Drosophila melanogaster: one gene and its partner. Changing the gene in region 2 together with the main gene of any one other region gives a genetic interaction. Each region holds a gene or a part of one and is shown on either strand. Other genes may lie near its edges.

Region 1 (4,614 bases), on a different chromosome or scaffold from region 2:
TTGCGCTTGGCGGCCAGATCGTTGGTGGTCAGCTCCACGATCTTCACCTGCACTTCATCATCTTCGTAGGTCTCCTCCTGCTGCTGCTCCGCCTCCTCGGCCTTGTCCTCCTCGGTGAGCTCGCGCAGCGGTTCGAAGGATTTCTTCAGGTGGTTAAAGCCATCCTTTACCTCCTGCCGTATGCGCTTGCGCTCGTTCTTAAGGTTTCTTTCCAGATCCGCCTTTGCACGCGATCGTCGCTCATTCTTTCTTTTCCGGAAGCCACTGAGAAACTCTCTGCGGGATTGGGATGTGGGCATTAGTATCCTCCGGGGATTCTGTGTCTCCTTACTTACATGCGTTTCTTGTTGTCGAATACAACCTCTGTTTTTTTCTTAGGAGCCTTTTTCCTGGTCATTTTCAAAAATTGTGCTACTCGTTTTTGTTTACGTTTTCAACATGTGCGAGCGGCCAGTGTTACCAGATGGGCAAAATACTTTTCCCCGAAACGAAAGGTACGTTAGAATTCAAAAATGTTTTAAAAAAAATTTTTATAGTTATACGTTTCTTGGTTTTTACCTTTAATTTGTTGTTATCATATGTCATAGATGGCATTCAGTGCAGGTTTCAATTTCAATAAGTTTTTTATTTTTAAACTTTTCAAATCGCTTTTCGTATATATATCACATGATTATATGTTCAAGTTCAACAAGTTCTTCTAAAGAAGCATTAACATTACACAATCGTAAGACTATATCTAGGGAACTTCGTACAACACTACGGTCTAGAACTAATCAAAATACAATTAACGATATATTCTGTTGCCATATGTATCTGGTATTCGTTTCGTAACTGATATATATTGGGTTTATCATAAATTCATTCGGTTTACGTTGCTCGCTGGCACCGTACTCACTCACTCGTCGTCATATTCCAGGACGAAGAGCTTTTTGCGTCGGAACGATGAGGTGTCCAGGACCTTGGCGGAAGATAGGGCGGAACACGGACTCTCGAAATCGTGTACATGAACGTACCTGCCCATTGAATCAACACTGAAAGCGGATGGGTTATGTGCGCTAGTCCATGAGCTAATCGATTAAGGGTACTTACTTATTCTTTAGCAAATCCAGACGGGATTTGCCTTGGTTTGTGTTCAATGGCGTGGAATTTATTACGTTGGGGCTACCCTGATTGGAGAGGTCCAGCGGGTCCTCGCCGGAAAGGAAGTCGGAGGCATAGCAGTCACGATTGGCAATGGGTGTGGATCCTACCAGCTGGAACTCCACCTGAGGCACCAGAGGCACTCCCTTTGACGAAGGCGAGGAGGGCACTATGTTAATATTGGGCTGTGAGGCCGTTATGGGCTTGCATAGATGCAGGACCTCCAGGAAGTATAGAAGGTAACGAAAGGCGGCTGTTTTCCAATTGCACATTCTTCCCCAAACGGCGCGGCGAGATCGCCTAAAACTACGCGACTGCAAGTTGTCAAGGGTTAAGATTGATTCTCAAAGATGTGCTTGGGAATGCTTACCAGCATGCTGAAGTTCATCAGCGACTTGCGCTTCTTTTGCAGGTACTGCAGCTTGGGATGTGAGAGTAGCTGCTCGGCCGTCGGCCTCTGCGCAGGATCGGGCTTCATCATGGACTTAATTACCGACTGCAGCTCCAGTGATATTTCTGTGCGAAGAGAAAGGCTTTAGCAACCTGCCATTTAAGTAGGCAGCTAGTTCGCAACTCACTGTTTATGAACTCCTCGGGCAGAATGCCGTGCCTCAGTTCGTGCCACAGTGGGCCGTTGGAAGGAAGATCCATGTAGCATGCCAGCTCTAGCATGGCAATGCCCAGACTGAAGATGTCCGCAGCCTTGGAGAAGTGACCCTGCAGGATCTCTGGAGCCATATACCTCGAATCTCCCTCCGTGGCGTGATGGCTGTTGGCCCTGTCCACATCGATGACCAGTCCAAAGTCTGCCAGCTTGCACGTCTCGTCGTCCTCGCCGATCAGAACGTTGTCCAGTTTAATGTCCAGATGGATGAGATTCCGGTCGTGCAGCGACTTGAGACCCCGCAGCAGATCCAGCAGGATGTGCCAGATGCGCTCCTCCGGTATCCTTTGGCAGCGCAGCAAGTACTGCTCCAGACTTTCGCGGCACAGCTCCATTTGCATGTACAGTCGGTCGTACTGCTCCCAGGCGCGGATGAACCGGATGCAGTTCTCATGGCCGGAGAACTCCTCGTAGCGCCGCACCTCTTCCAGCCGCTCTGCGCGGTACTGTTCGCCGCGGAACAGTTGCTTGGAGATCTTGACGGCATATAACTGGCCGTCGGAGCGATCGCGCACCTGGAATACCTCGCCGAAGGATCCTTCGCCCAGTTTGGCCAGCCTTTCGAAGCACTGCTCGAAGTGTGACAGGGAGAGGGTGCTCAGCTCGGCCTGGACTGGTGACGAGGGCAGCGTACTGGAATCCGAACATCCGGCGTCCCGGAAGGAGATCGCGTGCGCGATCTGGGAACTGTTGGTGCTACAGGAGCCCAGCGATTGGCTTCGGTTCAGATTGTTGTTGTCCACGGCGACGTAGCCACGCGTCTTGTACTTGGGCGGCCGGAAGCGATTGCTGTTCTCCCCATTGCACTGTTTGTGTCTGTGTTTGTCGTCGTGCAATTCCGGGAGGGGCAGGCGATGATGCTTTTCCATTTTCAATTTTGGGTGTCTTTTCTTATGAGTGGGCGAGTGTGACCATATCGGACAGCCGGCGAAATCCTGGCTTCTTCGCTTGGGACAATAAGAGCCGGCTAATTCATTTAACACATGTATCTTATATTTTTGATCTTTATTGGGAGTATAATTATTGATTTCAATTAAGTTAAGCTCCTATAATCGTATACAGATTTTACATGATTTGCCTCTTAAATGCCTCAATTATCGTAAATAGAGATGGGAGAGTTGAGTAGTTGGAAGAACAATAGAAATACTGAAATATTTTTAAAAACTTTAATCTAATCTAATTGTCTTTATGAATATAGGTAAATAAGCAAATAAATTGCTAAATAGTGGAATTAAGCCTTTATATATAGGCCGCTCTTTAAAGGAGAATGGTATTTGCGAATACGATATAATTCAAAAGTGCCGCCCAACTGCGGTATTTTTTTGGAAGATTGCTATTTGCAGTATTATGCCCTTAGGTACCTGGTATATTTTAACGGTCCAGCTGCGGCCGCACTGAGTTTATGAACAACATAGAAAACAACAAATTTATTAGCAAAATGGTTAGCAGAAATATAGAAAGGTAAATACGGCGCCTAGTTACGTGAATGCAGTGGGATTACGCAACACATTCCACCTGGGTGCAGCCAAATCCCAGTTCCCAAGTGCACCTGCCCTGGTTATGCAATTTACTAGGCGGCTTCTTCATTTATCTCGTCTGCACAATGGCTTCTCTGCTTCGGTTGTTCTGAGCGCTTGATCTTGACCTTAACCTTGAGTTCCACATCAAGATAACCATGATTGATTCGTGTATTGTTGTTCTAATTGTGCAGCACGAGTAAGGTGCCCACTTTCCATGTCATCCGCGAGGTCTACGACAGCTCCAATGCCCATGAAAGATTCGAGGCTGAGCTGGACAAGGCGCTGGAAGCCAAGTTGGACTTCATCGTTATAGAGCCGCCTCGGCTGGGCGACGAAACTGGTAAGCACTTGGAAGTGCTTCCTTTTAAAGCACAGTATTAATTTCATATCTCCACAGGTCGTTGGATTTGGGTGGGCAATTGCCTGCACAAGACGGCGGTGGCCACTGGAGTGGTTTCCCTGGTGGCCAGCTTGCTGTGGCGGGATCGCCCCATCATTGCAGCTCCCGCTTGTGCACTCTCGATTTTTTGCACAGGACTGTACACGGTTTCCTGGAACTACGATCCATGTTGTCAATATCAGGTATGAAAGGAAAAGTTCTAGATATCCAAGATTGAGAAGCTCACTTTGGTTGTGTTTTTCAGGTGGAAAATAATGACACCGTGTTGGAGAAACTGCCACTGACAGATGTCTCCTCGCCTGTGATTTTGGGCTACTCGCCCAACTCAAAAACCAAATACTTGCACCGTAGCGTATCCTTGCTCTCGGCTGCCCTGTGCGCCTGGCAGATTTGGAGGTCCTACAAGTAAGGGATTTGCAGGAGCTCTGAAATGTCCAGGTGCTGGATTAGGCCTGTCCCCTGTCTCGCGGACGCGTAATACCTAATAAGTTAAGTTTAGGCACATAGGCGAATGCATTTCTTTTAGATTTTCGAACGATTTTAACACAATGTATTGTCTTTCGTGAAACTTTTAAATGTTCCCATAAACCAGTGTCCATGTCCAGTGTTCCCGTGGCTGCCACTTGCACTGGCTAGCATGCTCATAACTTATTACGGTCCCCAAGCCCAAGTTAGTCTTAAGGGAGGAGCAGCCTCTGCACTGTAAATTAAGCAAAGCCAACCTCTGTGTATAAAGCGAAACCCATTTATGATTGTTATTAGAGTCTAGTTGAAGATATCAGCAAACGAAAGTCAAGTAAACGCGATGCGAATGTTACTCCCGGCTTTAAAGTTACTCCATAGCTAAGAGAGTCTAAGAGTGAGTGCGATAAGAGACCCCTTCGAAATTC
Region 2 (5,431 bases):
ACCGCATGCTGAACGCTGGCATAAGGAACCAACAGGGTGGCGGTGGCAATGGAGGTGGAGGAGGAGGCTACGGGCAAGGAGGCGGCTACGGCCAGGGAATAGGCGGAAACCAAGGACAGAGCTATCAGAACAATAGCCGAAACTATAACTACAACTACAACAATAACTACAATCAGCACCAGGGTGGCGGCTATCAAAACAACTACAATAACCGACAGCAGCAGCAATATGGCCACAATCAGAGATTCAACCAGGACAATTCGAATCAGCAGCAGCGCAACTTTAACAACTATAATGGTCCAAGGAACAACAACTACCAGCAACAAGGCGGCAGCAGGCAACAGAATCAGAATTATAGACGGTTTTAGGTGTATCATACAAACAATATAATATGTAGCGCATAACAAAAGTGTAATCCATATTAATTTACATTATTTTTTAATGAAGAAAATATACTGATTAAGGATTTCCAAACAAACTCATGCCAAGTTCTGAGTTTGTTCTTTAAATGAAATACCCATTGCATTTCTATCAAAGCAGCTTACAGCCAACATCTAGTCTTAGTGCCTCAAAGAAAATAAGTCAAATTACAATAATGATCATTTCTCTTTCCATTGATTGCGTAAAAAAAGCAAACTAGCTGGATAATACAAAAAAATGAGACGATTGTTATTTTCAGATAAGGAAAATGGAACATAATTTGACAGGAAATTGGATAATATCAAAACAATTTCTAGTGGAGTAAACAATTGAATTTAAGAAAAACTTCGCAAACATTTTGTTTTAAATCCGGAGTCATAATAAATCCAGTAGTTTTTATGGAATAGCATTCGCTATATTTAACGAATGGAATGTTATTATTTCGATTTCCATGTAACATAATAAATATTTTAATTTCGAAAACAATACTCATTACAACTATGCGAGAATCTTAAAGTTTACAAGGGGCTTTTCTTAAAACGATTGTGCTTTCTTAACAGGGAAAAGTTCACTGAGCTTGAAAAATATATAGATTATATTTACGAATGCTTCAAAATCCATGAGCTTAAACGAAAGCGAATAGTTAGAAATATGTATCGATTATATGAATACGCTTAAAAGGTAACACAATGTGAGCTTAGTTCACGTTCGATTCGGAAGAGTTTAGCTATCGGTTCGGCATCTGTTGCGAGCTTATCAGATATTGGTGATAACGTTCTTGTTGCGATCGGATATGCTGTCGAACTTGCCATGGCTGGAGAATGGCGTGCGCATGCGTCGCGTGAAGCTGCGAAGGCAACGCTGTCCATCCAGACTGTCCGGATTGTTAGTCACCGCAAGAAGATTGACTAAAATGAGTTGCAGAAACGTTAGAAATTGTAAACATCCAGATAACCAACCACCTTAAAGTTTAAGTTGTTATACAACTATTTATCTTATCTTACCTCGTTGCTCGAGCAGTTTAATCTGTTTTTTGGCCTCTCTCAGCTTGTTCATCAGTATCTCGTTCTTGCGCTTCTCCACGGTCAGCTCCAGGCCGAGCTGCAGCTTGCTCTTGGAGTCAACAGCACTCAGAATTCTGCAAATTAAACGAACATTATATGTATTTAGTGTGAGCACATTTATCTTAAATGCAACTAAATATGATTGTCGCTTATACTGTCGACTCAATTTACTTACGGATGACTGAATATAGACTGCGAAGTGGGCCTCTTGTCGGGATAAGGATGCATCATCTGGGCTATGAGCTCGTTAAAATCCCTGCTCAGGCTCGGCAGAATCGGCACCTTGCCATCTCGCAAGTTGTGCCATTCGGGTCCATTTTTAGGCAGCGGACCACCGCCGGCCGCCTCGAACAGCGTGATGCCCAGGGAAAATATGTCGGCCTTGAAGAGATTCGAATAATCCTCGTGAAGGATCTCCTTGGGCAGGTAACGACAGTCTCCCTCCTCGACGTAGGGTTCCTTAACGGAGGTCACGTGTCCCAGGTCGCCGATCTTGTACGTAACCAGATTCTCTGAATGGCGCAGTTCTTCATAGACGCTGTCCATGCCATCGTCATCTTTGGTCTGCTGCGGCTGCACCTCCACCAGCTTGTGTGCATTGGGATTCATGGTGGAGAATATGTTTTCGGGCTTCAGATCCATGTGCACCAGGTCATTTGAATGAATATAGCGTAGGCCCTCTATCACATGCATGAGAACAATCTTTAGCTCTGCCTCACCCAAACAATGATCTTGGATGCGCGCGTGCAAGCTGCCACCATCGCAGAATTCATTCTGTATCAGCATATGATCGTCCTCCGCCCACGCGGAATAGTATCTAACCACGTTATCGTGCTTGCCCAATACAGCATGGGCCCAGACCTCGTTCAGGGCTCTCTTTCTGCAAGCAAATAGATTGTTAAACGACGCTCGTTGCAATAACTAATGAATACTCACTCGAAAGAACTGCCTGCCACCGGCTTCTTACTCTTTTTAATCGCATATATGCAGCCATCTAGTCGATTGACGCATTGGAACACCACACCGAACTCGCCAACGCCGATTACGTTGACTTGCATGAACTCCCGCTTGAAGCGACTGATGTTCGTGTCGTGCAGGGCCAGCCGCTTGGGTGCCTGCTGGTGGATTTCGCGCATCGAGTCGCCCGCCTCCTCCGTCACATCGTCGTCGCAGGCATCACTGAGCAAATACTTTTGCATAGCATTCACGTTCAGGTTGAGGTTTTCGCGTCCGAATTGCGTGCGACAGCGCTTCTTATTGTGAGCCATGAGGCCTAAAAATAAAAAAAATGATTATTAGATTGCTAATAAGACTAAGCTGGGATGGGTTAAAGTGGAGTGCAAATTAAAGCAACGAACTGGAAATTGATACCTTTATTTAATTAAAATATCAAAAGCGAGAAACGTTTTAAACTTACTATCTGGCGTGAAGGGGTTCACATTTGCCGTGTCCTGGGTGGGCAGTTTGCGGTTGTGCAGTGGCAGAGATCGCGGGCGCTCTGACAGGCGGAAGAGGTCGTCGCTGCGCCTGGAGGCATTCACTGCCGCTGCTGCCGCCGACAGATGGTTGCTGCACTGCGTCGTCGACTTCTGCAGGATGGTCTTTGGAGTGGCCGGTGTGCTAAAGAGTCGCAGGGCCCGCACCTTTTGGCATGGCGGCGACATGGACACGTCCCCGTCGCCGCCTTCTTTGCCTATCTTACTGTCCAGCTGCTGCTCCTCACCGGAGGATAGCTTCGGCCGCTGCTGAAGGGGATGCTGCGGACTCGCTCCCTCGGGCGTGTCCTTGTCAAAGTCATCATCGGCGAAGCGGAGCTTGCGCGGATTGAAGACCTGCGGCGATGGCGAACGCGATCTCAGTTCGACGCTTGAATCGAGTGAGGTGACGCTCATCTCGTGCTCCGACTGGCGGAATGCCATTGTTGCTGTAGCTGTCCAGCTGACCACGTTGAAAGACGATTCTGTTCGTTATTTCTGATTTCAGAACTATTTGTATGGAAGCCGGCGGCAGTAAAGTAAAGGCAATAGTTAAAAAAAATGCAAAACAAAACACAAAACAAAATTTAACTGGAGGAATGCTAGTCTAATAATGTGGCCGTACCCGATGCGCAATAAAATACCAGCTCTGACTGAAAAAATACTAAGTAACTGGAAGTGCAGAGTTACCAAACAAACAAAATACTAAACATCTGGCAAAAATACCAATTTAAATAATGCGCACCTACTTCTAAACTGAGTGACCAGACTTGTTCAAGACCGCATAAAGCCCGCCAAATTCAAATGGAAAACAACTAATTTTGGCATTTAATTTATTGATTGAATATCTGTATTTTAGTGTTCAGCGCATTTGCTACATAATTCAAACACACATCTCAAGAATCCATACATATGTATTTTTTTAATACTTAACTATGACATCAATGTATGAATAATTATTATGCACTGTTGCAATACTTAATTATTACGAATATAGAAACACATCATACAGAGATTGGAGTCAAATAATCAAGTTGTTGTGTTGCATAAATTGAAAATTGTGTAAAATTGACATGAAAATGGTGGCGATGCTTCGTCCTCTGCACATTCGAGTATAATTCCAGGGTAAGCAAAATAAAATCCAAGGCAAATCAATTTACATAGCAATCCTGACTAGATCGTTAATCTGCGGCTGCCGATACATTTCTATATCTTAAATTTCCTTCCGTCAAATGATTTTCCGAAGCGCTCTCCTTTGTTCTGCGTGTGCTTGTATTTGTTGTTGTGTTGGAACATTAGAATACCTAAATATGCAAACTCGAGTTCCACTATAAATTAAAACCCTTAACTAATATGGTTTTGGACAACTAAAAACCTTAGATGGATACTGCATGAAAAAGTATTTGGGAATCTGTCTTGTTACACGTGAGGTTGTTTCTTTTGGGAATGAGGATTAGAGTCCAGTGCGTGGAGAGCCCATCTCGCCGGATTCATCGGGGGGTTGCAGCTCCGGCCCTCATCATCGCATGTCGGGCTCCGTCTGCATCCGTTCGCTGTCGCTAGTCCCTTGAAACGGATCGTGAGGCGGACGAGTCACCACGACGCCTGGGCGGCGATCCACGGCGCACCGCTGGCGACGCCGATCGAGATCGGGAACGCGACCGCGGCGATCCCCTAACCCGGTCATCGTCCTCATCCTCATAGCGCCGTTTTGGCGGCGGCGGTGAATCTACCGCTCCACTGCCGTTGCGCTCGTGGTCGCTGTACCTCGACGCCGATCCGTTCTCGTCCCGTCCGTTCGAGCGGCCGGAGCGACGGCCCACCGAGCCGGCGGAGCGACTGCGGGATCGAGTTCCGGACTTGGAGCGAGTGCGCCTGCGTCGCGATGTGCTCCGAGATCTGCTGAATGAGTTGCTTCTGGAAATGAAATGGGATAAATCGTCGTGATTAGCTATCAGGCTTTTCAAAAAACGTAACAATTTAAGCTACCTTATATATGTATATACTAATATACTAATACATTTAAATATATTATAGTGTGCTATATTATTTGAAACATTGTAAGTATCAAAACTAGCTTTTAGCAGATTAAGTTTTAACAGCTTATTGAATAAAACACAAGACAGTATAATATTCTAGAACCTCTCCCAGTTTTAATTCTGCATTTCACATAAAGATCACATGTATAATATAGCTTGCTCAATGCTTGCCGCCCTTCTTTTTGTAGTGCTTGTGGCCGTGCTTCTTGGAGCCCTTCTCGCCGTGCTCCTTCTTCTCCTCGAAGCTGTCGCCGTACTTGTGCTCCTTCTTGTACTTCTTGTGGTCCTCGTCGTGGTGACCCTTCTTGTAGTGTCCGTGGTGCTTCTTGTGACCCTTCTTTTTGCCGCCCTCGTGCTTTTCGCCCTTCTTGTGCTCGCCGTGCTCCTCGGCATGATGATGGTGCTCCTTTCCATACTTCTTATGATGTCCGCC

Evidence for each region.
Region 1: of Wee1 (region 2) and Myt1, changing one suppresses a phenotype caused by changing the other (phenotypic suppression), as found in Drosophila melanogaster (one study listed by BioGRID).

Annotation. Positions count from the first base shown.
Region 1 is NT_037436.4:5,776,869-5,781,482, forward strand, and holds Myt1 (Myt1), read right to left. Parts: upstream 2,724-4,614; 5' UTR 2,674-2,723; coding exon 1,719-2,673; intron 1,657-1,718; coding exon 1,511-1,656; intron 1,455-1,510; coding exon 1,090-1,454; intron 1,032-1,089; coding exon 896-1,031; 3' UTR 608-895; downstream 1-607. Other genes in the region: vito (viriato), read right to left, coding at 1-276, 336-397; Pmi, read left to right, coding at 3,243-3,265, 3,516-3,664, 3,722-3,906, 3,969-4,129. UniProt on the Drosophila melanogaster protein: Acts as a negative regulator of entry into mitosis (G2 to M transition) by phosphorylation of Cdk1 specifically when Cdk1 is complexed to cyclins. Mediates phosphorylation of Cdk1 predominantly on 'Thr-14'. Also involved in Golgi fragmentation.
Region 2 is NT_033779.5:6,910,525-6,915,955, forward strand, and holds Wee1 (Wee1 kinase), read right to left. Parts: upstream 3,615-5,431; 5' UTR 3,404-3,614; coding exon 2,902-3,403; intron 2,758-2,901; coding exon 2,421-2,757; intron 2,365-2,420; coding exon 1,660-2,364; intron 1,559-1,659; coding exon 1,425-1,558; intron 1,329-1,424; coding exon 1,177-1,328; 3' UTR 566-1,176; downstream 1-565. Other genes in the region: Rat1 5'-3' exoribonuclease, read left to right, coding at 1-368; x16 splicing factor, read right to left, coding at 4,519-4,876; CG32829 (uncharacterized protein), read right to left, coding at 5,159-5,431. UniProt on the Drosophila melanogaster protein: Acts as a negative regulator of entry into mitosis (G2 to M transition). This kinase specifically phosphorylates and inactivates cyclin B1-complexed CDC2.